Oryzias latipes: one gene and its partners. The protein of the gene in region 1 interacts with the protein of each later gene in a biochemical or structural test. Links are inferred from orthologs where the notes say so. Each region holds a gene or a part of one and is shown in the gene's direction. Other genes may lie near its edges. The genes, in order: parp1, aplf and chfr.

What was found.
Region 2: the proteins of parp1 (region 1) and aplf form a complex in vitro, tested with the Homo sapiens proteins (3 studies listed by BioGRID and IntAct, with this or other methods). The link is inferred for Oryzias latipes from reciprocal best matches to the Homo sapiens genes PARP1 and APLF.
Region 3: of the proteins of parp1 (region 1) and chfr, one has a biochemical effect on the other in vitro, tested with the Homo sapiens proteins (2 studies listed by BioGRID). The link is inferred for Oryzias latipes from reciprocal best matches to the Homo sapiens genes PARP1 and CHFR.

Annotation. Positions count from the first base shown.
Region 1 is NC_019882.2:7,700,370-7,710,624, forward strand, and holds the start of parp1 (poly [ADP-ribose] polymerase 1), read left to right. Parts: upstream 1-5,234; 5' UTR 5,235-5,344; coding exon 5,345-5,467; intron 5,468-6,960; coding exon 6,961-7,126; intron 7,127-7,288; coding exon 7,289-7,404; intron 7,405-7,474; coding exon 7,475-7,689; intron 7,690-9,870; coding exon 9,871-9,961; intron 9,962-10,035; coding exon 10,036-10,152; intron 10,153-10,232; coding exon 10,233-10,255. Other genes in the region: adenylate cyclase type 8-like, read left to right, coding at 1-55, 191-349, 1,180-1,326, 1,496-1,588, 1,665-1,779, 1,861-2,063, 2,207-2,422. UniProt on the Homo sapiens protein: Poly-ADP-ribosyltransferase that mediates poly-ADP-ribosylation of proteins and plays a key role in DNA repair.
Region 2 is NC_019859.2:723,649-733,903, reverse strand, and holds the start of aplf (aprataxin and PNK-like factor), read left to right. Parts: upstream 1-5,076; 5' UTR 5,077-5,102; coding exon 5,103-5,195; intron 5,196-5,405; coding exon 5,406-5,477; intron 5,478-5,952; coding exon 5,953-6,101; intron 6,102-6,227; coding exon 6,228-6,333; intron 6,334-6,442; coding exon 6,443-6,551; intron 6,552-6,845; coding exon 6,846-6,970; intron 6,971-10,255. Other genes in the region: CB1 cannabinoid receptor-interacting protein 1, read right to left, coding at 2,748-2,926; fbxo48 (F-box only protein 48), read right to left, coding at 3,302-3,463, 3,748-4,050. UniProt on the Homo sapiens protein: Histone chaperone involved in single-strand and double-strand DNA break repair.
Region 3 is NC_019867.2:23,124,743-23,134,897, forward strand, and holds part of chfr (E3 ubiquitin-protein ligase CHFR), read left to right. Parts: intron 1-3,415; coding exon 3,416-3,475; intron 3,476-3,551; coding exon 3,552-3,749; intron 3,750-5,295; coding exon 5,296-5,379; intron 5,380-5,509; coding exon 5,510-5,678; intron 5,679-5,790; coding exon 5,791-5,945; intron 5,946-6,037; coding exon 6,038-6,200; intron 6,201-8,145; coding exon 8,146-8,345; intron 8,346-9,260; coding exon 9,261-9,377; intron 9,378-9,597; coding exon 9,598-9,681; intron 9,682-10,155. UniProt on the Homo sapiens protein: E3 ubiquitin-protein ligase that functions in the antephase checkpoint by actively delaying passage into mitosis in response to microtubule poisons.

The DNA of each region.
Region 1 (10,255 bases):
TTCCATTCTTCTCATGATCATGTTCACAGTGGCTGTTTTTTATAATGGACGACAGGTACAAAGAAACATTTCCCAGCACTGATTTTCCAATCTTTTTTTTGTTTTTTCAATCTGAATGACCAGGTACAATAAAACCAAGGTGATGCTGGGTGATCTTCCATCACGTTGCTGTTTCTTCTGCTCTCTCCAGTGGGAGGCCACCGCCAGGCTGGACTTCCTGTGGCGTCTGCAGGCCCAGCAGGAGGTGGAGGACATGAGGGCGCTGAGGGAGCACAACGAGAGTTTGTTACACAACATCCTACCTGTGCACGTGGCGCAGCATTTTCTGGAGCGGAACAGAAACGACCAGGTACCAAAAACAAACCCTGACCTATTACAGGAAATGTAATATCATGTGATTTACAGACATATTAATTGTTAACATGCTGTTTTATTTTGTCAAACAGACCAAGAAAAAAAAGTCTTATTTTAATTTAATGTAATTTATTCCCACATAGTAAACTTTTTTTCATAACAAGAAGCACATTCTGTTACCAATTATCTTTCGATGTGTTGTAAAATTATGATTATGTCGTTTTTAGCCCCCCCCCCCCTCCCAAAAAAAAACTGTTTTTTAGGACATAGTTTCTGCAGTGTGGCAGTAGTTCATTAGAAATTTGCCTCTAAGTTTTGGGTGGGCAACACCGCCCATTCTTCCCTTCCCCATTGCTGAGAGCTCTCTGTTTACACAGTCTCCCACTTGCTTACAGACCCTCACACCCCCAACCTAACATTAGAGATGCAAAAAAAAGAGAGCAACATTGGAGCTATCCAACGGTACAGTTCTGAGCCAAAAGTCAGCTCAGACAAGAAAAACAAAGACGTCTATTCGTCGACACTACAATCTTTTTTTCAAATGGCATTTTTTTTTCATCTGCTCCTTATTCACAACAATTTGAATAAAGAATTCTCAGAAATGCTATTTTAAGGTTAATTTTTTTTATTTTAGCTCTCAATCATCAGAAAAATGCCACAAGAACATGTTAAAAACACAATCTTTATTTAGAGTGGGTCTTTATGGTCTTAGACACAGAGAACATCCACATGAACCGGGTTATTGCGCAGAAATGTTTGATTTTCCTCAGGTCTGTGTTATCTCATATGAGCAGGTGAAACTGCGTGTAACAATGGTCATTTCAGGAGCTTTACTCCCAGTCTTATGATGAAGTGGGTGTCATGTTTGCCTCGGTCGCCGGCTTCAATGAGTACTTTGAGCAGAAAGAGATTAAACATGAAGGAGTGGACTGCCTGCGACTGCTCAATGAGATCATTGCTGGCTTTGATGAGGTGAGCAAACTTCAATTGTTCTAACAACCGTTAGTAGTTCATCAGAGAAAAATACCAGCTGGTTCTGAGTTTGAACGCTACTAAAGTGAAAAGTTCATCCTTTTCTACCAACAGAAGTAGTTTGCCCAGTTATATTAGAAGCAGCTGTCTGAAATTGAATCTTTTCTAGTTGTTGGAGGAGTCGTATTTCCACTGCGTAGAGAAGATCAAAACCATTGGAAGTTGCTATATGGCAGCCTCTGGTTTAGCTCCAAATAAACAGGTGGGAGGTCAGTTTCAGAGTCATTTCAGTTGAATTTCTTTAGGGAAACTCACTCGTCTGGATTTATGTTTTCCAGGCATCCATGGATAAGTGGAATCACCTGAGCGAGCTGGTTTTGTTTGCGTTGGCGATGCAGGAGACCTTGAAGGAGACCAACCGGCTCTCTGCTCAGAGTTTTAAGCTGCGTGTCGGTGAGTCGATTTCATTATTGTAGTAAACAGTGAGGAGAATCTGAGACCAGTGACCAAGATTTCATGATGGACTCTTTTAAGGAATTGCTCATGGGCCAGTAGTTGCGGGGGTGATCGGAGCCACCAAACCGCAGTATGACATCTGGGGGATGACAGTGAACCTGGCGAGTCGTATGGACACCACAGGAGTGAGTGGACGAATCCAGGTGCCTGAAGCCACCCGAAAAGTCCTGTCAGAGTGGGGCTTTGCCCTGGAGCTACGAGGAGAAATATTTATCAAGGGGGTGAGTGGGGGCTGAGCCTAGTCCATATAGTCTGTGGTAACTTTGCAGATAACGTAAGGAAAGCTTTATTAAAAGGAAAATGTTTAATTTTTATTCATTTTAAATTGAAGGAGTAACCTAAAAAGATTTTTTGTTTAATGCAGGTAAGTGAGTGCCAGGGAAAAGTGCGTACATACTTCATCAGCACCACGCGCAGTAAGCAGGGCAATGCTGGGAAGTACAGCAGGCTTGGGGGGCGCCCATCAGGACGCCTGACACTAGCCGAGGTCGTATTTGGGCTGGTCCAAGCCCGACAAAAGGAGAAAATAAGAGAAACCAACAGTAACTTTGGTCTGATTTCCTGCAAACTGAAGTGTTGAGAGGCACGCAGAGGAGAGGACTCATCCAGGCAGGGCTGTTCCTGCATGTTTACAGGGTGGATCAAATCCTCCAAGGATCTTGCAGAGTTTATTCCAGGTTTTGTCCATCAACCCAACGAGTTAGGAGAAGAACATGTTGGAAAAGTCTATTTCTAAACTTACCAAGAGGAGATTGGAAATGGAACGTTTCCTAGAATGGGCCTTTCTCTTCCACTGACTTCTTGTGAAGTACAGCAAATATTAGGGGGATCTCTGCTTTTTCTAGCTTTCTTGTTGCCATTTTTACAGTAAAACAAAAGCCAACATGTCTTTTTTCATATCTTGTATTGCAAGGTATATCAAACATTTGAGCCAAAAACTAGAATACCTCTAAAAAACAGCTAAATCACACTCTATAGTTCAGGGTTCTGCAACCTTTAGCGCTCAAAGAGCCATTTGTTACAGTTTCTAACAGCCATAAACCCAGCAAGAGCTGCAAAGTCACACTCTACTGTTTAGAAAAATGTTCTAAATTTATATTTTTGCGGTCATTAAGTCATTTGTTTATTTATTCATAAAATGTAGCTTTGAAACATTTACAATTATTGAATTATAACAGTGTTATATTACCATTGCACAGACAAGTTCCTTTCAAAATAAAATGTATCCTGTGTCAAATAAGACCCTGCTGCAGCGATTATACTTTAATACATTTGTCTCTGAAAGACAACTAGGCTTAAGAAAAGAATGTGAGTTTGAACTTATTCTAAAAAGAAACCACTCTGACATAAATCAGATCTTTTACTATTTAATTGCTTGTATTTGACATGTTTGCATTATGGAGTGAACGTGTCAAGGGCTCTTGATTTAGTATAACGTAGTGGTTAAAACGTACATTTTTCTCATCTAAGTTCACCTCAGTTTAAAAATCTAAAAATAAATGACCAACAACCCTATTATTTCTTCAAAATGTTAGCATTTTTCTTCAAAGCAAAAGAACCACAATGAAGGGATAAAAGAGCAGCATGTGGCTCTGGAGCCACAGGTTGCAGACCCCTGTTCTATTTCATCACACATGAGTTGGTTTTTGTCTGTATCTTCCATACGAACTCTATAAATGCAACCGTGTTGGTGTTTTAGACATCATGTGCTGTTCATTTTACATGTATACCATGCTTTTATACATTTTTTACAGAAATGTTTAATTGTATGATTGCCGTCCATCAAATAAACACATTTTCTGTCTGTTTTTGATACTTAAAATAATTTAAAAAACGATTTAATACTTATTGCATTCTACTTTTATCACACTAGTCATACAATTTAAGTTTTATTGGTTAAACGTACCCATTACATGGAATGGAAACCTATAATTTTGAAAGTGAAGGATTTACTTTCTTTTCAGACTGCAAGGATCGACTTCTCTTCATTCGATTGTTTTAGACTGAAGCGAGCGCGGGTACTCTGTGAGGTATCCAAATATCGTCTATTGTGAAAAATGGATCGCTTGACATTTTTTTATGAAACATTTCAAGTTTGAATACTTTTTGTTGAACATATTTTAGAGGAGTGTTGTTTATGCGGTTGAGTGGCTCCTGAGGAATGACCAAGAGGACAAATAAATATACATAAATAATAATATTTCGTTTTTGTTTTTTTAAATAAATTTATAAATAAATATATTTCAGTTGATCAAATCTTAAGTTCTTTCTTTAATTCTTCCAATCGACAAAACTGAACAAAAAAATTACCATTGTTCTAAAAAACATCTAAGGATAATAATACGAAAACAATAGCCTAGCTCTTCTTATTAAGGTCAGACTTAAAAACATAAACATACAGAAGAAGTTGCATTATGAAGAAAAACTTGTAACAAAAAGTAGAAGTATACATGCACACAAAAAATGTAATATTTGATTTATTTCCACGATTGACAGTTTATTCCAACAGTTATAGGATAATAATTATGTTGTCCATCTGATTTTTTTCAATGAAAAAAGTGATTTACATACCAAGAGATCTTCACAAAATCATATTTCTTCTTGTACGTCTTACTTTTTTGTCTAATTTACTTTAAACTATTTACTTTCTGAAAATTAGATATATAGATATGGATGGATGGATGGATGGATGGATGGATGGATGGATGGATAGATAGATAGATAGATAGATAGATAGATAGATAGATAGATAGATAGATAGATAGATAGATAGATAGATAGATAGATAGATAGATAGATAGATAGATAGATAGATAGATAGATAGATAGATAGATAGATAGATAGATAGATAGATAGATAGATAGATAGATAGATAGATAGATAGATAGATAGATAGATAGATAGATAGATAGATAGATAGATAGATAGGTAGATAGATAGGTAGATAGATAAAAGAAAACGAAAGAAAAGGTAGAATGGTAGTAAGTAAATGAAAGCAGAAAGAAAAGAAGCTTCCTGCAGAAAAGCCAATTGTCATTTTCTTTTAATGATGTCCAAGGAATATCAGAAGCCGGCTGTTTTCTAAATTTCTAAATAAGAGCTTGTGAGTATGGATAACTTAAACAATAAATATGATTTTCATAACAACAACAAAAAACATAAACTTCCATTCTACAGGCTCTGCATGCAAAGATGTTTTGAAAGATATGCTGAAGGAATGGAAGTATGTAACCCCGTTTCTTAGGTTCGGTTAGCTGTGATTTCTGTAGCTATCTGGATAAATATGCCCGCATCTATCAGATATTTGTGGACATGCGCCCAGGTTCAGCGTCCATTGGCAACTAACGCTTGTATCGGAGGTTTGACAAAAAAGAGTCAGAGTAAGCCCTCTTTACTGGATCTTGCTCGCTGCTCTTCGCGTTGTCCCTGTTGTTGCTCCTCGTGCTCTGGTGGAGAAACTTTGTCGTCTTCGGTTCAGCTTTTTAAGGATAAAGGGAAGCTATGGCCGACTCCCAGAATGACAAGCTGTTCCGAGCAGAGTACGCCAAAAGCGGCCAGGCTTCGTGCAAGAAATGCAAGGAGAAAATCGCGAAGGACTCGCTGAGGATGGCCATCGTGGTGCAGGTAAGCAGCGGCGGTCCAAGGAAACACCCGGGAGCGGAATTATTCCTACAGACTCACTTGTTTACCAAGCAGCTTCAGCAGATGTAAAAAAAAAATAAAAGTGTGTTTTTGAAAATGTGATATATAGGCCTGAGTAGTTCCGGTTTCGTCTGGACTGGTTTGGGCCCTCGTTAGCATTTATGGCTGCTAAATCTTCCGCACAAAGAGCCGCAGAGATGCTCCAAATAAATGCACTTTCCGGCATTCAAGCAGAAATGTGAGGAAAAATCACTGCTGCCTCTCAGTCTGACTCAGTCTTGGTGATTCTATCGCTTGTCTTTCGGGGGAACGTGTACCGCTCACTACTTTCTTTACTTCATTCGCTTTTTCCTTTTATTTATTCATTTAGTATTTTGTCTACCACAGGCTTCCGTTTCAGCAGATGGATTTGAAATACTAAACTTTGCATAATTAATTATTATTCTACAAGCAATTAATGCAAGTAGAATTTATATTTTTGGAAAAATACGTTGACATTCAAGTAAATTAATATGCAGGTAAAAAAATTATTATCTATAATCCAGTAAATTGTATAAAACTAATTTCTAATGCAAATTTAAAAATTAGGATGAAAAATGTAAATATCAATCACAGGTATTTATAAAAAAAAAATAGATCATATCTAGACTGATTGCTTTTATTGTCAAAAATTTTATATCAAAAGCACAGAGTAAAAATTGGCACCAACTAAACTTTAAAAAAAAAAAAATATATATATATATATATATATATATATATATTTAAATCATTTGTATTCAGATTTATATTTGTAAATTTCCCATCCTTCAGACTGATCAATTGATGGTTATTGATATTATTAAATAAACAGTTAAAATGTTTAATTTAAGGCGAGCAATTTAAATCTAAACGTAAGGAATAAAATGTAAAAATAATAATTAAACACATATATAAACAAAACTTTTATTACAGTTTGTATTTGTTTGTGGAATTAGAAAGATGTTCAAGTTTTTATTTGAAGGTATTTTTTATGATTTAAATAAAAACAAAATTGCGCTTTTGTTTTGGCGAGTCACTACAGCTAAAATGTTAAAGATAATTTGAAAAGCCTCTTATTTTTCTTAAACTGTACAGAAAAATTGAGAAAAGTCATTTTTAAAAGGAGCAGGACATGGCGACAATAGTACAATTATTTTTTTCAAAGGGTTAGTTTTTTCCTCCCATTTCACCTTCAAAAAATATTACGGTATTGCTAAATTATTTTACATCCTTTACTCGTCTCATAAAAATGTTTTTTGTCTGTTCTTTGTTCAACTTTTCAACTATCTTGTTCAATTCACCACCAAACTACACTGGAGCTTTCAGATGATCTGATATGAGCAGCAAACCCATCATTTTTTTCCAGAATCATCCAAACCCGGCAGATACAGACAGACTGAAAACTATAACTCTGCAGCTGAATGTGTTCACGCCTATGTTTACTCTGTGTCCCGCAGTCCCCCATGTTCGACGGGAAGGTCCCTCACTGGCATCACTTCTCCTGCTTCTGGCAGCGAGCCTCGGTGCAGTCCACGGCCGATGTCGGCGGGTTTTCGGATCTCCGCTGGGCGGACCAGGAAGCTGTCAAAAAAGCCATAGAAAGTGGTGGAGTGGCCGGAACAGGTCTGTGCTTGTCTGAGCTGTTTGTGCACACGGGAAATGAATTGACGTTTATCAGCGTGGTGAATGTTAGTCATCGGAAAGTCGCTTTTGTTTACTTTTTGTAGGTTGTTGAAAATTCTGACTTAAAGCACAGCGGGGTAAATTGAGGTCTCCATCTTGCAGGAAAGGGAAACTCTGGTGGTGCGGCTAAAGGAGAAAAGACGCTGAACGACTTTGCGGTGGAGTACGCCAAATCAAACCGCAGCACGTGCAAAGGATGTCAGCAGAAAATAGAAAAGGTTTGCTGCAGCTTCGTTTAAACAGTTCATTAACGGAAAGCACGCCTGTGACCTCTGACCTCTCCTCCAGGATCAGATTCGTGTGTCTAAGAAAGTGGTGGATGCAGAGAAGCCTCAGCTGGGCCTGATCGACCGCTGGTACCACACTGCATGTTTTGTGAGCCGCAGAGAGGAGCTGGCTTTCAAACCTGATTACAGCGCTGCTCAGCTGAAGGGATTCAATGTGCTGCGGGCAGAAGACAAGGAGGAGCTGAAGAAGAGGCTTCCTGCTGTAAAAACTGAGGGGTGAGGAGTAACAAAAACTATATATATATATATATATATATATATATATATATATATATATATATATATATATATATATATATATATATATATATATATATATATAAAAGTTTGACTAAGAGCTTTGACTCAGCTCTCACAGACTTGGTTTGGTCTAGAAGTTCTCTCATCTCCTCTGTTGTTTCCACTTAAAATCTCTGCCTCTCCCATCGACCTGCAGCACAGAAAAATGGCCTTAAAGGCGTCCCTGAAAGCCGTCATGGTGTATGCATACAGGAAGGGGTTCACAGCAGAGTTGGCGTGGGACAGGATGATGGTGGTGAGCAGCAGCTCCAGCGGAACGGGGCACTTTGGGCAAAGCAGGAGGAAGCAGTTGATCACATGGAGCGGAATCCAGCAGATTGTGAAGAGAAAAAGAACGAGGAAGAGCGACGTGGCCATCTTCATCTCCTTGCGCATGGTGGCTGCCGTCCTGCCCTGTCGCTCCCATCCTTCACCTTTCTCAGTCGCGATGCGCCTCATCTGCTGCTTCACCGTGAGGAAGATCTGGGCGTAGATGAGGAACATGATGAGCAGAGGTGCGAGCACGCAAGCGAAGAAGTTGAAGTAGACCATGTAGGTCATGTCCACCACCAGGACGAAGAAGCAGTAGCTGGAATCTGGCGGTCTCTTGTGCCAGCCCATCAGGGGGACCAAGCCGATGAGGGAGGCCAGCAGCCACGTGCCGAGGATCACCATCAGGGCGTTCCGAGGCGTCATCAGGACGCCGTAACGCAGCGGCATGAAGATGGCGACATAACGCTCCACAGCCACTGCCAGCAGGCTGAAGATGGAGCTCTGGGTGAACATTATCAGCACGCTGAGCATTAGCAGACACAGGTAGAAGTTGTAGCGCGGTAGACCGACGTCGGTCAGGATGGCACAGGGAATGGCAATGGTTCCCACACAGATGTCTGCTACCGCCAGCGAGACCAAGAAGTAGTTGGTGACGGTGCGAAGCTTACGGTTGAGACCCACAGCAGCACAGACCAGGAGGTTCCCCAAGGTGGAGCACAAGGCGATCACGAGCTCGGCCACCATGTATGGCACATTTGGGTGCATCACCGGGTCAGCTGGTGGCGCAGAAGGGGAGGAGGTGGTGGCGGAGAGCCGGTTGGTGAAGTTGCGGGGATACTGAAAAAAGAACTGAAGCCAGGAGTTGCTGGTTTGTTGGAAAACAATAAGTGGCACAGTTTCATTCTCCATAGCTCTCCTGCAAAAGAGCAAATTTCAGATGTAAAATTCATGTTAACATCCAAACGTCTCACCAATCTGCTCCACAGACCTATCAAGGATTCATCATCAACCCCCCCCACCCAGAAAACCAGACACCCCTCTGTCCTTTACTTCATGTCAGCCGTTGTCTTGATGCTTTGTCCTCCAGATGGTCATTTATGGTATGGAGGTGTCACAGGAGCTGCTCTGGCCCCCGGCCCCTGGGAGCGTTCAGACGTGTACCAGCTTGCTTGTTTGTGTCCGTTTGCTGCAGAGACCCTCACGAGTCTACTCCATGAAGAAAGGTGTCACACGCAGGCTTGTTTGTTCCTCATCATGGCCGTCACCTTCATCCCTGTGCGCCTTATTTGGGTTCCTAATGGGATGTTTTCTCATCATCTTGTTTGGCTTGGTCGAAAAACGAATGGACTGGTTTAGGGCAGCAACCTGGGAGGTAACTTCTTATTTAGGCAAAACACCTGACTCATTCACACAGACGAGACTCTTAACTTCCTGATGAAGCTGAAGTAGGTTCACGTCCCACAGAATCTACTGGTCAGGTTCTACCAGACCCCAGCTGGTACCCTTTTTTCGTCAAAAATGATTCTGCAACAGAAAAACTGGATCTTCTCTTCTTATCAACCTTGGTTCTATTACTTCAGGAGTTTAAAGATTCCACTCAATGATTCAACCCCCTGAAGAAGTGGAAAGCCAAAAAAAAAAACAGGATGAAGTTGGGTTCTGGCTCCAAACTGGGAGCCAGAACCCAGAACAGTTTTCCACCGTTCTGTAAATGGAGGTCCAGGACACTGTCAGACTACAAAATAGTTTCACCTGCAGGGGAGAAATGCCTCACTCTTTATGCTTTCTATTTCTTTTTTCTTAGTATTTTTTGTTCTGTAACTATGATAATAATTACATTTGCAGAAAACGTCCAGGCGACGAGTTGGACGGAGTTTCAAAGAAGCTGAAGCAAGAAGAGGAGGAAGAGAATAAACAGTTGGTGGAGAATTTAAAGGTGCTTTTTTTATGTTCAAGATTAATTTTGTTTGTTTTCTTGTTAATAGATTGATTGTGTTGTTGTGGTTGCAGAATCAAAGTCAGCTAATTTGGGGGATTAAGGACAAACTCAGGAAATACTGTTCAACCAACGACATGAAGGAGCTGCTGATTGCAAACGGTCAGGAAGTTCCTTCTGGGGAGTCCAACGTAAGAAAAAGTCACAAATGAAGAATCCTATGCTGCTTAAGCCAAAGTCTCTGGTGACTCACTGCCGGTTTTGAACTCAGGTGGTCGACAGAGTGGCTGACGG
Region 2 (10,255 bases), on another chromosome or scaffold:
GGAGTAGATCTATGTATAGTAGATCTATGTAGACGAGATCTATGTGGAGAAGATCTATGTGGAGTAGATCTATGTGGAGAAGATCTATGTGGAGAAGATCTATGTGGAGTAGATCTGTGTGGAGTAAATCTATGTGGAGAAGATCTATGTGGAGTATATCTACGTGGAGAAGATCTATGTGGAGCAGATCTGTGTGGAGTAAATCTATGTGGAGAAGATCTATGTGGAGTATATCTACGTGGAGAAGATCTATGTGGAGTAGATCTGTGTGGAGTAAATCTATGTGGAGAAGATCTATGTGGAGTAGATCTATGTGGAGATATATGTGGAGTAGATCTATGTGGAGAAGATCTATGTGGAGTAGCTCTGTGTGGAGTAAATCTATGTGGAGAAGATCTATGTGGAGTAAATCTATGTGGAGAAGATCTATGTGGAGTATATCTATGTGGAGATCTATGTGGAGTAGATCTATGTGAAGTAGATCTATGTGGAGTAGATCTATGTGGAGATCTATGTGGAGTAGATCTATGTGGAGAAGATCTATGTGGAGTAGATCTGTGTGGAGTAAATCTATGTGGAGAAGATCTGTGTGGAGTAAATCTCTGTGGAGTAGATCTATGTATAGTAGATCTATGTAGAGTAGATCTATGTGGAGAAGATCTATGTGGAGTAGATCTATGTGGAGATCTATGTGGAGTAGATCTATGTGGAGAAGATCTATGTGGAGTAGATCTGTGTGGAGTAAATCTATGTGGAGTAGATCTATGTGGAGTAGATCTATGTGGAGTAGATCTATGTGGAGAAGATCTATGTGGAGTAGATCTGTGTGGAGTAAATCTATGTGGAGAAGATCTATGTGGAGTAAATCTATGTGGAGAAGATCTATGTGGAGTATATCTACGTGGAGAAGATCTATGTGGAGCAGATCTGTGTGGAGTAAATCTATGTGGAGAAGATCTATGTGGAGTATATCTACGTGGTGATTAGATTGCGTTACTTGAACAAAAATGAATCATGTTGGTCCTATTTAATGTATTTAGGTTCAAATTAATAAATTTAAGTTGATTCAATTTAAATAGAGCAGTTGCACCCAACTTCAAATTAATATTGTTACTCACTCTAAAAAGAAAATAGTTGATCCAATTTAATTGAATCACTTCAATTGGTCACACCTAAGTAAATTAAGTTTATTTAACTTGAATTTCTATTTATTTCTATAATTTTATTTATTCATCTGTAATTGATATGTTGTTCCAAAGTTACAACCAATGGGTCTTTTAATTTTCACATCAAAGACATGATTTACCCAGCAAAGTCCATCACAAGACAGGAGTTCAATTACCGCGAACTCTGTGTTAAGTATTGGAACATTAACAGTTTGCCACACAAGGGGTTTGGTCTTCATCCTATACCAAACTTTAACTCATGGTGCAAACGAAATAAACACATATCAGTTTAAATCACTAGTTAAAACAGAGTAAAACAGCTAGACAATAAAACCCATGGAGAAAAACTCACACTTAGACCCCAATCTGCCCAGATAGACAAAGAAAATGGTATCCCACAATTCCTTGCGATTACTAATGGATCCAATTTAATGGAATCATGTTGGATCAACATGATTGAAATTATTAACTTTTAAATGGATTATTTTTATGTAAAATCGACATGATTCATTCACGAAAGATTTACAAACATATAATTTTCTGGTTGAAATGACAAGTTACTTTTTCGTTAACTTAATTGGCTGGTAATTTCCTTTTTTTGAGTGTATGTGGAGAAGATCTACGTGGAGAAGATCTATGTGGAGAAGATCTGTGTGGAGAGGATCTGTGTGGAGTATATCTATGTGGAGTAGATCTATGTGAAGAAGATCTGTGTGGAGTAGATCTGTGTGGAGTAGATCTATGTGGAGTAGATCTATGTGGGGTAGATCTTTGAGGAGTAGATCTATGTGGAGTAGATCTGTGTGGAGTAGATCTGTGTGGAGTAGATCTATGTGGAGTAGATCTGTGTGGAGTAGATCTATGTGGAGTAGATCTATGTGGAGTAGATCTATGTGAAGATCTGTGTGGAGTAGATCTGTGTGGAGTAGATCTATGTGGAGTAGATCTATGTGAAGATCTGTGTGGAGTAGATCTGTGTGGAGTAGATCTGTGTGGAGTAGATCTATGTGGAGTAGATCTATGTGGAGTAGATCTGTGTGGAGTAGATCTATGTGGAGTAGATCTATGTGGAGTAGATCTATGTGAAGATCTGTGTGGAGTAGATCTGTGTGGAGTAGATCTGTGTGGAGTAGATCTATGTGGAGTAGATCTGTGTGGAGTAGATCTATGTGGAGTAGATCTATGTGGAGTAGATCTATGTGAAGATCTGTGTGGAGTAGATCTGTGTGGAGTAGATCTATGTGGAGTAGATCTATGTGGAGTAGATCTTCTGGGTTCTTCCACTAAAACTCGACCATGAAGCTGAACATCCACCTGACAGCATCCAAATGAAGCTAAACGAATATTTCAATAAAAATATTTTTTATCCTGAATGTTTTTTCCGTCGTTTATAACCCCCACCCCGCGCGCGCGCGTGCTTCCATCCGATCCCGCATCATTTATTCATTCGGCGGGTGTCGGATGCTGCGGCCTGCACGAGGAGGCCGCCGCGTGCGCCGACGCCGCAGTCTTTGTCCGGTGTCCCCCACGCGCGCCCATCTCCCGTGTTACACAGGCACGCGCCCGGGTTCGCGCCCTTACGTGGCCTCCACGGTCCCGGGCTTCAGCACCACCTCAATCTTGTACTTGGAGCCCGTCAGCAGCTTGATGGTTCGGGTCTGGCCGAACCGGGTTCCGTCCACCTTGAAGAAGACCGGACCCTCGTTGGGCTGGATCCGCAGCGCCACGGAGATGCAGATGAGGGGGGGCACGTCGTCCATCGTCCCGGGATGCTGCTCTGCCGGACGCACGAGCTGGAGATGCGCGGATGCTGAGGGGGGGTGGGGGTGGGGGGTGGGGGTTGCAGACGGCGTCAGCGCGCTTCCGCTCGACGCCTTCACAATAAAAGCCGGTTTTTGTAATAACTAATAACTTGCTGAAAACGAGCCTTCATCCGTTCTGACCCGAACTAAACCTTCAGTCCGGTTCGACCCCCCCACCCCCACCCCCACAGGGCCTACACCTACACAACTGTTCCAGAGAAAACTTTTATTTTGTAATAAAATTGGTGTTTTCTGTCATACTCAGGTCTGGATCATTTACAGTCTCATTCCAAGTTCTTGTGGGGGTGGAGGGTTGGGGTTGGGGTGGGGGGGTCATCTGTCCAGCTCAGCCTGAAGGATCTCCCCCCACGTCTCTGCGTCCAGCGGCGTCATCCTCCTGCCACGCAGCTCCGCCACAGAGCGCACGTGACTGTAGCGCCCCGTCAGCCAGTCGGCCTTCAGGCGGCTGCGGGCGTAGTTCCTGACCACGGTGACCTGCAGGGGGGCGGAGCCACACGTGAACCGGGAGAACGCACTGACCACTACACCACCGTGCCACCCTCCACCCTTATCCAGAAGCAAAGAGGGAGACGGACAGCTCAATGGCATGAGGAGGTGCGATGAGGAGGAGGTCAATGACCTTCATCATCAAGGAGGTCAGGGACCTTCACTTACATGAGGGTCATGTGATGAGGGAGGGGCCTCAGAGGGAGGCATCAGAACTCCCCCGCCCCCCCTATAACCTGGCCATATTGGGGGAGGGGGGAGACCAGGCTCACCTTCCAGGAATGGCCGTGGCTCCTGTCGCGGTCCACCTCCCTCTGGCAGACGGCGCGCACCACCAGGCCCTGCCCCCTCCACAGCTGCTCGCTCTGCTGGATGACGGCGTGCCACAGCCGGCAGGTCTGCGAGGCGCGGCACAGGCTGTCAGCGTCCAGCTGGCTGAAGATCCGCACGCTCATCTCCAGAGGAAGCGCCTCCACAAAGTTCAGAGGGGGGCGTTCGGGGGGGGCTGCCATCAGGGTGGGGCTTCCTTCCATCGGGTGTGGGGGCGGAGTCTCTGCAGGTTCATCCTGCATCATAAGGGGGGAGGGGGAGGGGGCGACTGAAAGATGAAAGACATTTATGGGGGTGTCAATCAGATTTTAGCACGTGGATCGTGTAGTCTCAGACCCACCTGGTCTGCTCCTCAGGGGTCCACAGCAGTCCGGGATCCGGATCGGCCTTCAGAACCTTTTCATGTGGCCTCACTTCCGGTCACGTTTCAAAAACGTCACAGGTGCTGAAGACAGAAGTCCTACCTGCTCTCTGTTTGGCACCTGAGCCTCGGACGTGGGGGCGGGAGGCGCACGTGACCGAAGCCTCAGAACCGGATCAGGGCTCAAGCGGGACCCCCCACCGGGACCCCACCCCCACCTCCGTCTAAACGAGTGTTTTGGGGGAGAGCAGCTAGCAGACAAACGCCGCCGGTTCCGGTCTGAACTCCGAGCAGAAACGGAATCGGGTTCTTTCCCGAGACGCTGAACCACAGGGACGCAGTAATCAAGCGCGGACAGGACACGGGGTTTGATCCCGACAGCTGACTGTTTAAATGTCCCAACGGTTGTTTGTACACAGACGTGACGTCATCGTGAATTTAAACCACGCGCATGCGTAGAAAGGCCTCACTGTCAAAAAACCAAACTCCGTTGTTTTTAAACTTTTGTAATCTAATGTGAAATTTAAAGAGAAAATATTCTTACTTAAAATCCAAACAATTTATCTTTTTTTGAACGTTTTTTTCTGCGCAGGTCAGTTTACTGATCAACACTTTAACTTCAGGCTGACATGAACATGTTAAGTTTTTGTTTATTTCAATTTTTAATTACTCAAATTGGATCTTTCGTAAAAATCGATGGAAATTTTAACTTTTTTGCTGACACCTTAAAGACACCACTGCGCATGCTCCACTGGAAACCGGAAGTCTGGATTCAAAAGTAGCGGAAGTTGTTCCCGAATTCACCTGCGGCTCTCAGACCCGGATTTCATAGTCCAGATCCGCAGAGACCCGGGTCAATTGGACCCAACGCATTTTCCGAACCGCGTGTGTTGATAAACTCTTCCCGCCAGCCGGACCCCCCCGCCTCCGGAGCTCATGTCCGGCTTCCTCCTGGTCCCGGTGGATGGCGGGAATCCGGTCCCCGTTCCGCCAGGGGAGACGCTGCTGGGCCGGGGTCCCCTGCTCACAGTGAGTCCCGCAGAGTGTCGGGTCAGACAGAGGCGGGGCACGGTCACGTGACTCCGCTGCCACAGCTGGCAGGTGATCACCTGACCTCTGACGCAGAACTGGAGCTGGTACCCCCCTCAGGACAAGTTCCTGAGGGGACGTGGTGTGAGGGACGCTGATCCTCAGCTCCATCGCCTCACAAGTGACTGAGTGTTTCTGTCTCCACCCCAGATCAGCGACAAGAGGGTGTCGAGACGCCACGGGCTGCTGCAGAACCTGGACGGAGAGCTGCGCCTCAAACCGGTACCGACCCCCCCCAGACACACACTCTCCTAGAGTTCTGAACACGGCGAGGTTCAGGAGGACGCCGCCGTCACGTTTTCGGTTCTGCTAGAGTTTGCATGTAGAAAATCCAGACGGTTCTGGTTCCACAGCGACCCGATCGGGTCTTTCAGTTCAGGGTTTGATGATGTCACATCCGGCCAAGATGGAGGAAACCACTGACGTTACATGAACAACGCAACCCGTCACACGGTTTGACCAAAACAGAACCGGATCTGTTTGAGTCCGGTTCAGCTTTACTGAAACGGTTCTGAAGAAGATCCAGGTGGAACTTCAGGCAATCAGAACCATGTGGATCCATCCAGGATGACCTCTGACCTTCTCTGTTCTGTCTCTGCACCTCCTCAGAGGAGGAGCCGTGCCGTCTGCAGATGGTCCTCCTGGTGTCTTCGGGCCTCCCCAGATCCCAAACTGATGCGCTCATGTCCCTCCCCAGACCCACGCCAACCCGTGCTTCATCCAGGCCTCCCTGTCCTCGGAGCCCCGCCCCCTGCCCCAAGGATCCTGGTACACGCTGCGCGATGGCGAGCTGCTCTCTCTGCTGCCGGGGCGGCTGGTCTTCAGGGTGGAGGCCGTGGGCTCCAGGTATTCCAGGAGGGTGTGGGCGGCGCCGCTTTTGTTTGAAGCTGGGATCAAACAGACGGAGGAAGACCCTCCAGCTGATGAAGAGCTGCTCCTGCAGGAGCTGCCTCACGTCTCTGTGTCCTGCAGGAGCATCCGGAGCGCTGAGGAGGAGGAGCAGCTTCCCGCCTCAGGAGAAGGTCAGGAGGGTCCAGCAGGAGAGGAGGGGGCGGAGTCAGACGGGAGATCCCGACAGGTGGGTGCCCCGCCCACACCGTTATGTCAGGCCCTGCGCTGAAGCATCAGGAAGGAAACGGTCCTCGAACCCTCGTTGTCCTTTGAAGTCCGGCCTTTGATCTTCACAGACCAACATGGAGGATCAGAGGCACGCCGCTCTGTCTGAGGTCAGGGTTCGAACCCTTCCTGCCTGGATGATGGCGGCCGCCGTGCAGACCCCAGCCCTCATGCTCAAAGGTAACTGTGGCAAACGGTGCAAAGATTCATGGGTAAAAAAGCCAAATTCAACCAGAGAACCCGAAGGAATCTCTGTATGCCAGGGGAACGCTCAGAACACGAGAGAACACCTGGACTCACCTGAGCGGAACAGCAACGTCCTGCAGAGACCATCTTTGGCTCTTCCTCAGAAATTGCTCTGATCGCTTAGAAAGAGCCGGATCCAGTTCTGATCTGACTGACCGGTTCTGTCTGGTTGTGGTTCTGCTCTGTAGAAGCATGTTGTTGGTCTGATGGGGTTTTGTGTGTGTTTAGTTCAGTCAACTCTTCAGAGGAGGAAACGACCTGCTGGCGGTGTTCAGGCCACGCCCACATCGAAAGAGGAAGAGGAGCAGAGAAAGAGGAAGATGAATGCTGAGGAGGAGAAGGCACCTGAAACGGTTGAGTAAAGCGGTGATGAAGATGCTGAAGCTAAAACCTGCTGAGCTTCTCTGTCTGGAGGTTCCTCCTGGACGGTTCTGAGGAACCCGCCATGCAGACGGTTCTAAGGAACGGTTCTGAGGAACCCGCCATGCAGACGATTCTGAGGTTCTAAGGAACAGTTCTGAGGAACCCGCCATACAGACGGTTCTGTCGGTCTAAGGAACGGTTCTGAGGAACCCTCCATGCAGACGGTTCTGAGGTTCTAAGGAACGGTTCTGAGGAACCCGCCATGCAGACGATTCTGAGGTTCTAAGGAACAGTTCTGAGGAACCCGCCATACAGACGGTTCTGTCGGTCTAAGGAACGGTTCTGAGGAACCCGCCATGCAGACGGTTCTGAGGTTCTAAGGAACGGTTCTGAGGAACCCGCCATGCAGACGATTCTGAGGTTCTAAGGAACGGTTCTGAGGAACCCGCCATGCAGACGGTTCTAAGGAACGGTTCTGAGGAACCCGCCATGCAGACGATTCTGAGGTTCTAAGGAACAGTTCTGAGGAACCCGCCATACAGACGGTTCTGTCGGTCTAAAGAACGGTTCTGAGGAACCCGCCATGCAGACGGTTCTGAGGTTCTAAGGAACGGTTCTGAGGAACCCGCCATGCAGACGATTCTGAGGTTCTAAGGAACAGTTCTGAGGAACCCGCCATACAGACGGTTCTGTCGGTCTAAGGAACGGTTCTGAGGAACCCGCCATACAGACGGTTCTGAGGTTCTAAGGAACGGTTCTGAGGAACCCGCCATGCAGACGGTTCTGAGGTTCTAAGGAACGGTTCTGAGGAACCTTCCATGCAGACGGTTCTGAGGTTCTAAGGAACGGTTCTGCGGAACCCTCCATGCAGACGATTCTGAGGTTCTAAGGAACGGTTCTGAGGAACCCGCCATGCAGACGGTTCTGAGGTTCTAAGGAACAGTTCTGAGGAACCCGCCATGCAGACGGTTCTGAGGTTCTAAGGAACGGTTCTGAGGAACCTTCCATGCAGACGGTTCTGTCGGTCTAAGGAACGGTTCTGAGGAACCCTCCATGCAGACGATTCTGAGGTTCTAAGGAACGGTTCTGAGGAACCCGCCATGCAGACGATTCTGAGGTTCTAAGGAACGGTTCTGAGGAACCCGCCATGCAGACGGTTCTGAGGTTCTAAGGAACGGTTCTGAGGAACCCGCCATGCAGACGGTTCTGAGGTTCTAAGGAACGGTTCTGAGTAACCTTCCATGCAGACGGTTCTGAGGTTCTAAGGAACGGTTCTGAGGAACCCTCCATGCAGACGATTCTGAGGTTCTAAGGAACGGTTCTGAGGAACCCGCCATGCAGACGATTGTGAGGTTCTAAGGAACGGTTCTGAGGAACCCTCCATGCAGACGGTTCTGAGGTTCTAAGGAACGGTTCTGAGGAACCCGCCATGCAGACGGTTCTGAGGTTCTAAGGAACGGTTCTGAGGAACCCGCCATACAGACGGTTCTGTCGGTCTAAGGAACGGTTCTGAGGAACCCGCCATGCAGACGGTTCTGTCGGTCTAAGGAACGGTTCTGAGGAACCCGCCATGCAGACGATTCTGAGGTTCTAAGGAACGGTTCTGAGGAACCCGCCATGCAGACGATTCTGAGGTTCTAAGGAACAGTTCTGAGGAACCCGCCATACAGACGGTTCTGTCGGTCTAAGGAACGGTTCTGAGGAACCCGCCATGCAGACGGTTCTGAGGTTCTAAGGAACGGTTCTGAGGAACCCGCCATGCAGACGATTCTGAGGTTCTAAGGAACAGTTCTGAGGAACCCGCCATACAGACGGTTCTGAGGTTCTAAGGAACGGTTCTGAGGAACCCGCCATGCAGACGGTTCTGAGGTTCTAAGGAACGGTTCTGAGGAACCCGCCATGCAAACGGTTCTGAGGTTCTAAGGAACGGTTCTGAGGAACCCGCCATGCAAACGGTTCTGAGGTTCTAAGGAACGGTTCTGAGGAACCCGCCATGCAAACGGTTCTGAGGTTCTAAGGAACGGTTCTGAGGAACCTTCCATGCAGACGGTTCTGAGGTTCTAAGGAACGGTTCTGAGGAACCCTCCATGCAGACGATTCTGAGGTTCTAAGGAACGGTTCTGAGGAACCCGCCATGCAGACGGTTCTGAGGTTCTAAGGAACAGTTCTGAGGAACCCGCCATGCAGACGGTTCTGAGGTTCTAAGGAACGGTTCTGAGGAACCCGCCATGCAGACGGTTCTGAGGTTCTAAGGAACGGTTCTGAGGAACCCGCCATGCAGACGGTTCTGTCGGTCTAAGGAACGGTTCTGAGGAACCCTCCATGCAGACGATTCTGAGGTTCTAAGGAACGGTTCTGAGGAACCCGCCATGCAGACGATTCTGAGGTTCTAAGGAACGGTTCTGAGGAACCCGCCATGCAGACGGTTCTGAGGTTCTAAGGAACGGTTCTGAGGAACCCGCCATGCAGACGGTTCTGAGGTTCTAAGGAACGGTTCTGAGGAACCTTCCATGCAGACGGTTCTGAGGTTCTAAGGAACGGTTCTGAGGAACCCTCCATGCAGACGATTCTGAGGTTCTAAGGAACGGTTCTGAGGAACCCGCCATGCAGACGGTTCTGAGGTTCTAAGGAACAGGTCGGAGGAACCCGCCATACAGACGATTGTGAGGTTCTAAGGAACAGTTCTGAGGAACCCGCCATACAGACGGTTCTGTCGGTCTAAGGAACGGTTCTGAGGAACCCGCCATGCAGACGGTTCTGAGGTTCTAAGGAACGGTTCTGAGGAACCCGCCATGCAGACGGTTCTGAGGTTCTAAGGAACGGTTCTGACGAACCCTCCATGCAGACGATTCTGAGGTTCTAAGGAACGGTTCTGAGGAACCCGCCATGCAGACGGTTCTGAGGTTCTAAGGAACAGTTCTGAGGAACCCGCCATGCAGACGGTTCTGAGGTTCTAAGGAACGGTTCTGAGGAACCTTCCATGCAGACGGTTCTGTCGGTCTAAGGAACGGTTCTGAGGAACCCGCCATACAGACGGTTCTGTCGGTCTAAGGAACGGTTCTGAGGAACCCGCCATGCAGACGGTTCTGTCGGTCTAAGGAACGGTTCTGAGGAACCCGCCATGCAGACGATTCTGAGGTTCTAAGGAACGGTTCTGAGGAACCCGCCATGCAGACGATTCTGAGGTTCTAAGGAACAGTTCTAAGGAACCCGCCATACAGACGGTTCTGTCGGTCTAAGGAACGGTTCTGAGGAACCCGCCATGCAGACGGTTC
Region 3 (10,155 bases), on another chromosome or scaffold:
TTTTGATCAATTTTTAAAAGCGTTCCGTTTTTCGCCAAAATCTGAAAACCCGTGTTGTTTTCTAAGACGTAGTTTCTGCAGAGCAGTAGTAGTTCATTAAAAATTGATCTCTGAGTTGTGGGCAGGCCCCTTGGCGTAGAGCCCCCCCCCATTGTGTCAACTGGGTGATTTAGCCTGACTGGAGTTGTTCCTCCAGTTAACACAGATGTAAGCACACTATTGTGGAAAGATGGCTATTTAGTATTTTAAGGTCCTATACCATGTGAAATCAACCTTTTACGCTTTTCAGTGTATTAAAATGGTCACTGTAGCCATGAGGGGGGCATGATCCCCAATCCGGTTGCACTAAAGCTGGATAGGGGGCAGGAGGATATGTTATGGTATGAAATACCATGGAGATTTATTCTGTGGAGCTAGCCTGCTCCAGACCAGGCTAAATTCCAGGATCTATTTAATCTCATCCCTAATGTCAGTCAGCAGTCGCCACAAATGGAAACCAATAGTTATTTCACTGCTCACTATACATTGTTATCACATATAACTAGACCCACGGTCATTATTTAAACGTTTGTGATCATTAATTTCAATCATTTTGGATAAATGAGTTTTAGATGATGTTGCTATCATTAGATAATTTACAGTGTCCCATAGACTATAAGGCTATATATAAAATGATAGAATATTAGGGCCACAGAGGGAAAAAAAAGACAAGTCATAATATTGTAACCAGTTGTTTTAAAGGAGGACAGTTGTTAAAATGACAGATGTGGGGTATTTCGTGAAATTGTACTTCAGTATGGTTTCATAAACGAAGACATGCTGATGTGCCAGAATATGAAGTATCACATTGTCATAACTATCAGAACTGTAAAAAGAATATGTTGCTTTTCTGCAGAAAGAACCAGCCTCATAAATTTATGACTTTATCCTTTTTCCTCAGTGGGGCCCTAGTACTCTGTCATATAAAATAATACACATTCCATATGAATATAAAAACACAATGTGTAACATTATGTTCCTTTATTGAATAAGGATAAAACAAAGCAGGTAAACTACACTCAAAAAACGTTCACTTTGAATGAACATAAAAAAATTATGGAAATGATTTCCACATGGTTAGATAGCGTTACTTGAACAAAAATGACTCATATTGGTCCTACTTAATGTACTTAGGTTCAAACTAATAAGTGTAAGTTGATTCAATTTAAATACTGCAGTTGGACCCAACTTTAAATTAATATAGTTGCTCACTCTCAAAAAATAAAAGTTGATCCAACTTAGTTGAATCACTTTAATTGGTCACACCTCATTAAATTAATTTTATTTAACTTAAATTTCTGACTACCCAACACAAGTTATGTTGATATATCTTGATTTTTTGCTTTAATGTTATTTATACATCTGACATTGATAATGTTTTCGAAAGATACAGCCAATAACTTTCACATCAAAGACATGAATTACACAGCAGAGTCCCACATCAAAAGACAAGAGTTCCAATACCGCGATTTCTTCCTTAAGCACAGTAACTTTAATACTGCACCGCACAAGGGGGTTGGTCATCATCCTCTCCCACACTCTAACTCATGGTGCAGAAAAAAAAGAACCATAACAGTTTAAATCACTAGTTAAAACAGAGTAAAACAGCTAGACAATAAAACCCATGGACAAAAACTCACACTTAGACCCCAATCTGCCCAGATAGACAAAGAAAATGGAATCCCACAATTCCTTGCGATTACTAATGTATCCAATTTAACGGTATCATGTTGGATCAACATGATTGAAATTAGTAACTTTTAAATGGATTATTTTTATGTACGATCGACATGATTCATTCACGTAAGATTTACAAACATAACATTTTCTGGTTGAAATGACAAGTTACATTTTCATAAAATTAATTGGCTGGTAATTTAATTTAAAAAATTATTGAGTGTGCTTTATCACTGTGGTGGTGTTGCCTTTCTTCTTAATTATATCTTTTACCTCCTCGTATGCCTCCATGAGGATTTGTGCTTCCGACGGGGAAAGGTACGCGGCTTTAGTTGCCATGGTGAATCAGTTTATCTGTGATCTGTGGAGGGGTCTGTTTGAGTGAGCCGTGAGCGCGCACCTATCCAGGATTGGTTACACCTGGCTTGATGAATCCGTGTCTGCTCATCCTGGCTTGGTCTTTGTGCAACCGATTAAGCCTGGACGGACATGTTTTGGATTCATTGAGCTCAGCTCAGTCATTTATCCCGGATGTCTTAATTCTACTTTTGTGCAACAGGCCCCATTAGAGTATATAATAATTGTTATTAAACAAACCTCCTAAGGTTTGTTTAAGGGCCGACCAGCTCTCTCATGGTCGGCCCCTTTGATGCAGGCCAAAACCTGACTCCGCCAACTCCTTGCGGACGTCGCAGCGTTGTTGTGACATGGTGGCCATCCACCAACCAGTCAGTACTCATTCCATCTGGACCATCCAGGGTTGAAAGGCACTCAACGGGGAACAGGACTGTTTGAAAATGAGTCATGTGTGTCTGGGCCCACTGCAGCTTCTGCTTGTGTTTAGGTCCTTTAACAGCATCCTCCTCTCTATGAATGAATGAAAGCCGACCAGGCCCTGATGCAGCAAAGAACAACTATATCAGGATGCTTCCTTCGCCATACTTTACGACACATGTAATAATGTGCAGTTTTTTTGTTTTTTTTTTAAGTCCACCAAAAAGTTCTCAAAGCTTTTTAGTTGTTAGTGGTTTGTTTCATGTGGTCTGTCCAACCACACTCTGACTTCTTAGTTTTTTACGTCCTGTAGACTCTAGAACACAGATGCTCGCCAGTTCTGGGGTTGCTGTTTATCCATGAGTCTTTATTGTCCTTTTATGAGCAGTTGTACTGGGTACCTGCTGCTTGGTTTCTTAGCCACAGTCACAATGCATTTCCTTTTCCAACATGTTTGAAGTAACTTTTTAACTTTCTCCAGCTCATTGGGAATTCATATTTTGGAACTGTGGATGATCTGGATTTTCTCCGTGGTAAACCAAAGTTCACAGTTTTATCTTAGTGTGTTACTTTTGAGTTTTAGTGTTCCATCAGTTAAAAGTTGACCTCACCATCACTTCACATTTTGTTCTCCCAACTACATTCCAGATATGTTCAGATCTGACACCAGTTTTCTTCTTTGAGGTCATTAACTTTGGGGTTCACCTCGTCCTTCCAATAGATTTATTATTTTAATGGTGGTTCTCAATTAAGATTAAGTTTCTTATTTTCTATGGTTTTGCACAAAATGTTCATATATTCTTATGACTTGTCCTAGATAATAATCTAATTACATTTTATGATGAAGAAAGGCAAAAAACTATGACATGGTATATGAATGTGTGAAAAGTTGTACAAAAACTCTTTTATTTTATTTTAAATATAGATATTGCTTATGTTTACCACACTATCAAGATGGAGCAGGGCGAGTCACTACACAGCTATGGTAAGATCTCACTGACTCTTCACAAAAAGGTTTTCCAACATTTTTATTTACACTCCATACTGTTTTCAAACTTCAGGCATGGAGAGTTCAGCCCAGAGTTACTCAGCTGTTCCAGAGTCGGAGATGATTCTCTCTGTGGAGCCACTCATCCTCACAAAGACTCCCAGAGACTTGGCCCAAGATGAGCCAAAGCCTTCAACTTCTGCTTCCCATTTCTGCATTGAGAATCCCTCTTCTTCTGGCACCACAGTGATCACAACGTCTTCATCCTCTGGTAACCAATGCGCTTTTTAAGACTGATGTTCCACCAGGCAGGAAAAAAAACTCTCTTTCCATAACACAAAAGATATTTTTTAATCACATCAACATGTTATGGCTGTAACAAGTTTTGCTTATGTGACCATAGACTTTACTTTAATTTCAAAAGTAAACTCCTAAACTGCCTCCCATTGAGTTAGCTGAGTCATGAGCGTTAGGCCTTCCAGCTGGCCTTGGTGTCAGACTTCATCTGATTGGCCTTTGCAGTTTTCTGTCTCTGCTGCTTGCAGCACACCGTCAACTCTGAAGGTTTCATAGAACAACACAAGCTAGCTGGAATCTGAGTGGATTAAGAAAATGTACAGCTATGTCAGCAAAAACCAAGTGGTCATCATATAAGGACTATGAAGACTACTGTATGTATAAAGTCATGTTAACTGCATATTTAAAATAAACAAAACAATCATATTTTCTTAAATCATTAAATTTAGGTCAGCACAGAGGGATTTGCAGCCTCTAATGGCCCAATGCTCATATGTAGGTAATGAAAATGCTGGAGTGCTTTGACTGTATCTTTGTTAAAACAATCCACTTGAGGGACTGACAGACGAGCGCATGTGGAAGCATCCTGCCATCTAATGTGTAAAATGACCTGCTATGGATTCAGTTTTTTGGTTTCCTATGTTGGTTTCTGTAGGTCAAGCAGCAGACCACAAAAGGCAGAGAAATTCTCTCAAATGTCAGGTTTAGTTTGGGCTAACTAACAGAAGCGATCAACTTCGTCCCATCATGTTACGCTTCCTGTTCACTTTAAGAACTGTGCAATGTTTTTAGTGTAAAGAACTATATGTAAACTTTACAAAAGTACATTTTTATGATTGCATTAAATATGTAAATGTCTAAAGGCATTATATTAGATTAGTTTAGTGCAGGGTAACTTTTTGTTTGGTTTTGTTTAGCAAAATTAGCACACACAAGTCTTGATAAGAATCTGCTTAAAGGGTTAGGTTTGTGTTCAGAAACAACTTGTAGTGTTTATTTTGGCCACCACTTACTTCTGCACTGCAAAAACAGGCCCGCTAGAAATGTGTCAACAATGCTTAACATTTGAAACCTTTTCTAAAAAAAAATATTAAAATAACTCTGCCAATGGGGTAAAAATGGTCTTACAGAGAATTCCTTTTTTTTAAAATAAAACTCTAGTCATTTACAAAATGTTTTCTTAAACTAAGATTATTTTGCCATTGAAACACTTCTGTGACAAGATTATTGTTCGTGCATGACAAAAAAAGACAATTCTTGTTAAAACAATTGTCTTTTTATTTTCTTGAGATTCAGTTTTTGCGGCGCGAGGGAGTTTTTTTTTTCTGTTTTGAATCTTTTTTTGGCTGTTCAATCCGACCCCATTTTTTCTTCCCAAACCTAATAAAGCATGGTTTTGTCTTAAGTGAATAAATAGTCTGTGTGGAAGTTCAAATCTGTATATTTGCTACAAATGTTTCTATCTTATTAGGATTATCACATTTTTGATCTGTCTTTGTTGGTTTTTTCAATCCTACTAGGCCCACCTAAACATGCAGCTCCTGCACAAAAACATGATACAGACCATCTGGAACCTAAACTTAAGAGGAGGAAAATGTCTGATGGTTAGTCTTTAGTCTTTTAACTACCTGATTATGGTTTTGCCTTATTTTAATGTCATTAAAACCATTATTTTCTATGCGTAGTTTGGTATCTGCCCAAATCTATTGTTATATGTGGCTGCTGTTTTTTAAGTTTTAGATAAAGAGTGTGCATCAGATTTGCCATTCACTGCCTGTCCTGAAGTGGCTGGATCAGCTGACAAAGACTCATCAAAATCAGCAGTTAAAGAAACCAAGACGGATAAGATGGAAGAATCCTTGACTTGTGTTATATGCCAGGACCTGCTGCATGACTGTATCAGGTAAGATCTGAGGTACCTGTGGTTCAAGCATGGATCTGCGAGGGAACCGATCTTTTTGTCTGCAGGCCCACCTCAGTGCTGCATGTGTGTTTCAATAGTCTGTCTGCTTCAGCTTGCAGCCTTGCATGCACGTCTTTTGCGCCGCCTGTTACTCAGGCTGGATGGAGCGCTCATCTCTCTGCCCGACGTGCCGCTGTCCTGTAGAGAGGATTTGTAAAAACCACTTCCTCAATAACCTGGTGGAGGCATACCTCACACAGCATCCAGGTTTGCACATTTAAAGACCAGCCTAGTTGCATTTTATTACATTTTTGTTCATTTATTTCAGATGAAAAGTGTGGCTTTTCCTTTTTTGGCAGAAAAGTGTCGCAGTGAGGAGGACCTGAAGAGCATGGACAGCAGAAACAAGATAACTCAAGACATGTTGCAGCCAAAAGTGGAGCGTCTGTTTTCTGATGAAGAGGGCAGCTCCGACTACCTCTTTGAATCATCTGATAATGACAGCGACTCCTCAGACACTAGGTAAGAGAACTGCCTGTGCTTGCATCTCAGCTAACCTTATTTGCCCTTCTCTATCTTTCTCAAGCATTTTAAGATGATCAGAGACCAGACACAGTTTATGAATCCCTATAGGAAAACTCGAATTTGAATGTTTTTCTATGGGTTCTAAAAACCATGTGATTTTAAAAGACCCACTCCGATGGAAATTGTGTTCTTAACATATTCTTGTGCCATTTTTCTAATGATGGAGGGACATGTATGAAGAAAATTAGGTTCAAAATTGTATTTAAATTGTTGTCTATCAGAAACAGATGAAAAGATTCTGGGGCAAAAAAGTATTTAGTCAGCCACCATTTTTGCAAATTCTCTCATTTAGAAAGATGGGAAAGGCGTGCAATTTTCATCACAGGTATACCTCAACTATGATTGACAAAATAAGAAAAAAGCAAGATTTTTGGCTCTCACAGACATTTAACTTCTTCTGTAAGAGGATCCTATGCTCTCCACTTGTTACCTGCATTAATGGCACCTGTATGAACTGGTTATCTATAGAAAAGACACCTGTCCCCAACTTCAAACTGTCCAAACTCCACAATGGCCAAAACTAAAGACCTGTGTAAGGACACCAGAAGCAACATTGTTGACCTGCACCAGGTTGGGGAAGACTGAATCTGCAATAGATAAACCGATTGGTGTGACGAAATCAACTGTGGAAGCGATTATTAGGAAATGGAGGACATGCAAGACCATTGATAATCTCCCTCTATCTGGGGCTTTCCGCAAGATCTCACCCCGTGGGGTCAAAATGATCACAAGAACGGTGAGCAAAAATGCCAGAACCACACGAAGGGGCCTAATGAATAACCTGCAGAGAGCCGGGACCAAAGTAACAAGGGCTACCATCAGTAACACACTATGCCACCAGGGACTCAAATCCTGGAGTGCTAGACGTGTCCCCCTGCTAAAACCAGTACATGTGAAGGCCCGACTAAAGTTTACTAGAGAGCATTTGGAAGATCCAGAAGAGGATTGGGAAAATGTCCTATGGTCAGATTTAACCAAAATACAACTGTTTTGTAGGAAGTTTTCTCGTTGTGTTTGAAGGAGATAGAAAGCTGAGTTACATCCAAAAAACATCATGAAAACACACATCTGTGTTGCTTAGCGACAGCCCCAAATCATGACTGCTCTAGAGGAGATCTGCATGGAGGAATGGGCCAAAATACCAGCAACAGTTTATAAAAACCTTTCAACTTTTGTTATTGACCAAAAACTTATTTTCCACCATAATTTACGAATAAATTCTTTCAAAAATGCGACTATGTGATTTTTGTTTTTCCCCAAAATTTTCTTTTCTCATTTTGGGTCCCATTGTTGAGGTATACCCATGATGAAAATGACAGGCTTCTCTCGTCTTTTTAAGTATAGGAGAACCCACACAGTTGGTGGCTGACTAAATACTTTTTTGCCCCACTGTAGTTTATTAGTTTTCAGCTTTGCAGAAAAAGAAAAGCAAGAGCTGGATTACATTAAATGCTGCTCACTGATTTGAGTAGGATTTAGGAAAGGCTGAATTGTTGCATAATGTAGAGCTGCTTCCTTTACAAACGTCTAGACAGAGATTTAACAGGTTTTGAGCTGCTTTCATTTTCTGTTTCACCTACAATGTGTGAAATATTAATCTTTCTTTTTTAATAAAACTGGTAGAAGAACTGTTAATATCATAATAATGGTGGTTATTCTTTTTAACAATATTATAAGTAACCTAACTATTTGAAGTAGTAAAAGATGACATTTGTAACTCATGACTAAGACGAATGCAGCTGTTGTTTGTCAATAATTTATACAAAAATGTATTTTCTGTTCTAAATCACCAAAATTTAGCTTTTTTTTCCCTTTTAAGGTTTATGGTCCATGTTTTTGAAAATAAAACAAAATGTGACCTAATGTGGATCTCTGTCCCCAGTCAGCCTTTAGTGATGTGCAGACAGTGTCCCGGCTACAGGAGCTACATGAGCCAAGTGCTGCTCACCACAAGTTCAAACTGCTGGTTTGCTGGTCTGCCATCACTACCAGCTGTACTCTCATCAGCCAAGCCAGCAGGTGAAGAGGAAGCAGCAAAGCTGACAGGAGAACAGCCCTCAACATCCTCTGAAGCCACATCAGGTGTTTGCCCATTAATGCTTCACTCATCTTATTGTGTTTCAATAAATGAGCAAAATAAAAAACGTCTAAAGTTCAAGAAGAACAACGACCATCACTTATTTTATAGAATTTCAAAGTTTCAATATACAGTTGTGCTTTTCAGAAGGCTGGAATTTAGTCTAGTGATAGCTGATAGAAAATTAATGGGGGAAAAAAAGTAACTGTGTACATGCAACTTTTTATAGTTGCTGTTATTTTTACAGCTTTCAACATTTGTACAAGTTGTGTAAATCTGTGCCAACAGATGCTTTTCATTTGGCCTTTTGTTAAGAAAATAAAAGGGCAAAACTTGACTTTTTTGTTTTTGTTTTAATTACCGTAACTCTTCAACCGTTTATGCAACTAACTAAACGTCAGTGGATTCCGAAGGGGAGAAAAGCGGCTTTCCACCTTCATGCAAGCCAAAGAGAAAAGCCACTTTTCTCCTGGTCAGAATCAGCTGATTCATGCTGATCTCAGAAACGCTCAAAAAGTTACAGTATATTAAAGAGCGTGTGTTATTTAGGTTTCGCTGGTAACATGTCCAGCGTTAAAGGATTAATTCTGTCTTCAAGTACAGTTTTCAAATTTGATCTTTTCCAGATATGGATGCAGATTGTATGAATGTACAGATGTCCCTCTAGTAAATTGGATGTCGGTAGTTTTGATTAGTGAAACTGACAAAACAAACTTTTAGCTCCCCATCACTTATGAACTGACAAATGTGAAATTTAAAACACCACCATTGATTCAAACTCACTGAAAATGTAGTGATTTTGTTTTATAAGCCGGATTTTCTGACATGCTTTGAATTGGTTGTAAATTGGTGCTTTTTAATTTTTTTTTATCAAACTGGATTTGATTCATTTTGCTCTTTTGCTTTCCTCCTCCAAACAGCTTCCCAGGTGTACTGCTGCCCCCCTCAGGGTCGCCATGTCCTCTGCACCTGCTGCCTCCAGCCGATGCCGGACAGACGGGCAGAGCTCAGCAGTCTGCCGGGCTTTGCTCAACAGTGTGAGTGGGCTGATTAACTGGAAGCTCTTTTGCACAAATTTAACATCTGTGTCCATAAAATGTGTGTATGCAAATATTCACACAAACTTGAATGTAACTAGACACGGACAACTGAATCTGTGTACGGATATTTGAATGCTCTCGTGTTAATCATCAGCATTATCAATAAAGCCTGCCAGGTTTTTCCATCATACACCCTAAGGTTAGGATGTTTGTGCAGGTATGCTGTGCCAGCAGCCTTTCTGTCACATGTACTGGGGTTGCCAGAGGATTGGATGTCAAGGCTGTCTGTCTCGATTCAGTGGTATGCACCAGTTTCTGCAAAAACACCAATAGAATGACCCAAAAAATAACTTGGGCAGAAGGTATAAACATTTTCTACATATCTTAAGATGATTACTAGGGCTGGGTATCGCCAAAAATTTCCTGAATTGATTAGGTTCACCAGACCCTGGATGAATTCAAACATTCTCTTTCGATCCACTCAATTGAATTTGATTCGATTCAATTTTGAATTTATATGTTTTGAAGAAATGTATATTAATCAGATACCGTTCACATACTGTAAAATTTATGAGTGAAATAATTCCCAGTGAGACTATTAAGACCATCCAGTGTTACATGATTTCTCTAAAGGAGAAGCTCCAACAGAATTGTGCAGATCATGTTCTGCCTCTCCAGGAGGCCGTTTCAGTTTAGCCACTTGCGCTAAAAGCATTACACTTTTATTCCATTATTTGAGAAAAAAACTGTGCTTTAAATCACAAATGCTTACTTT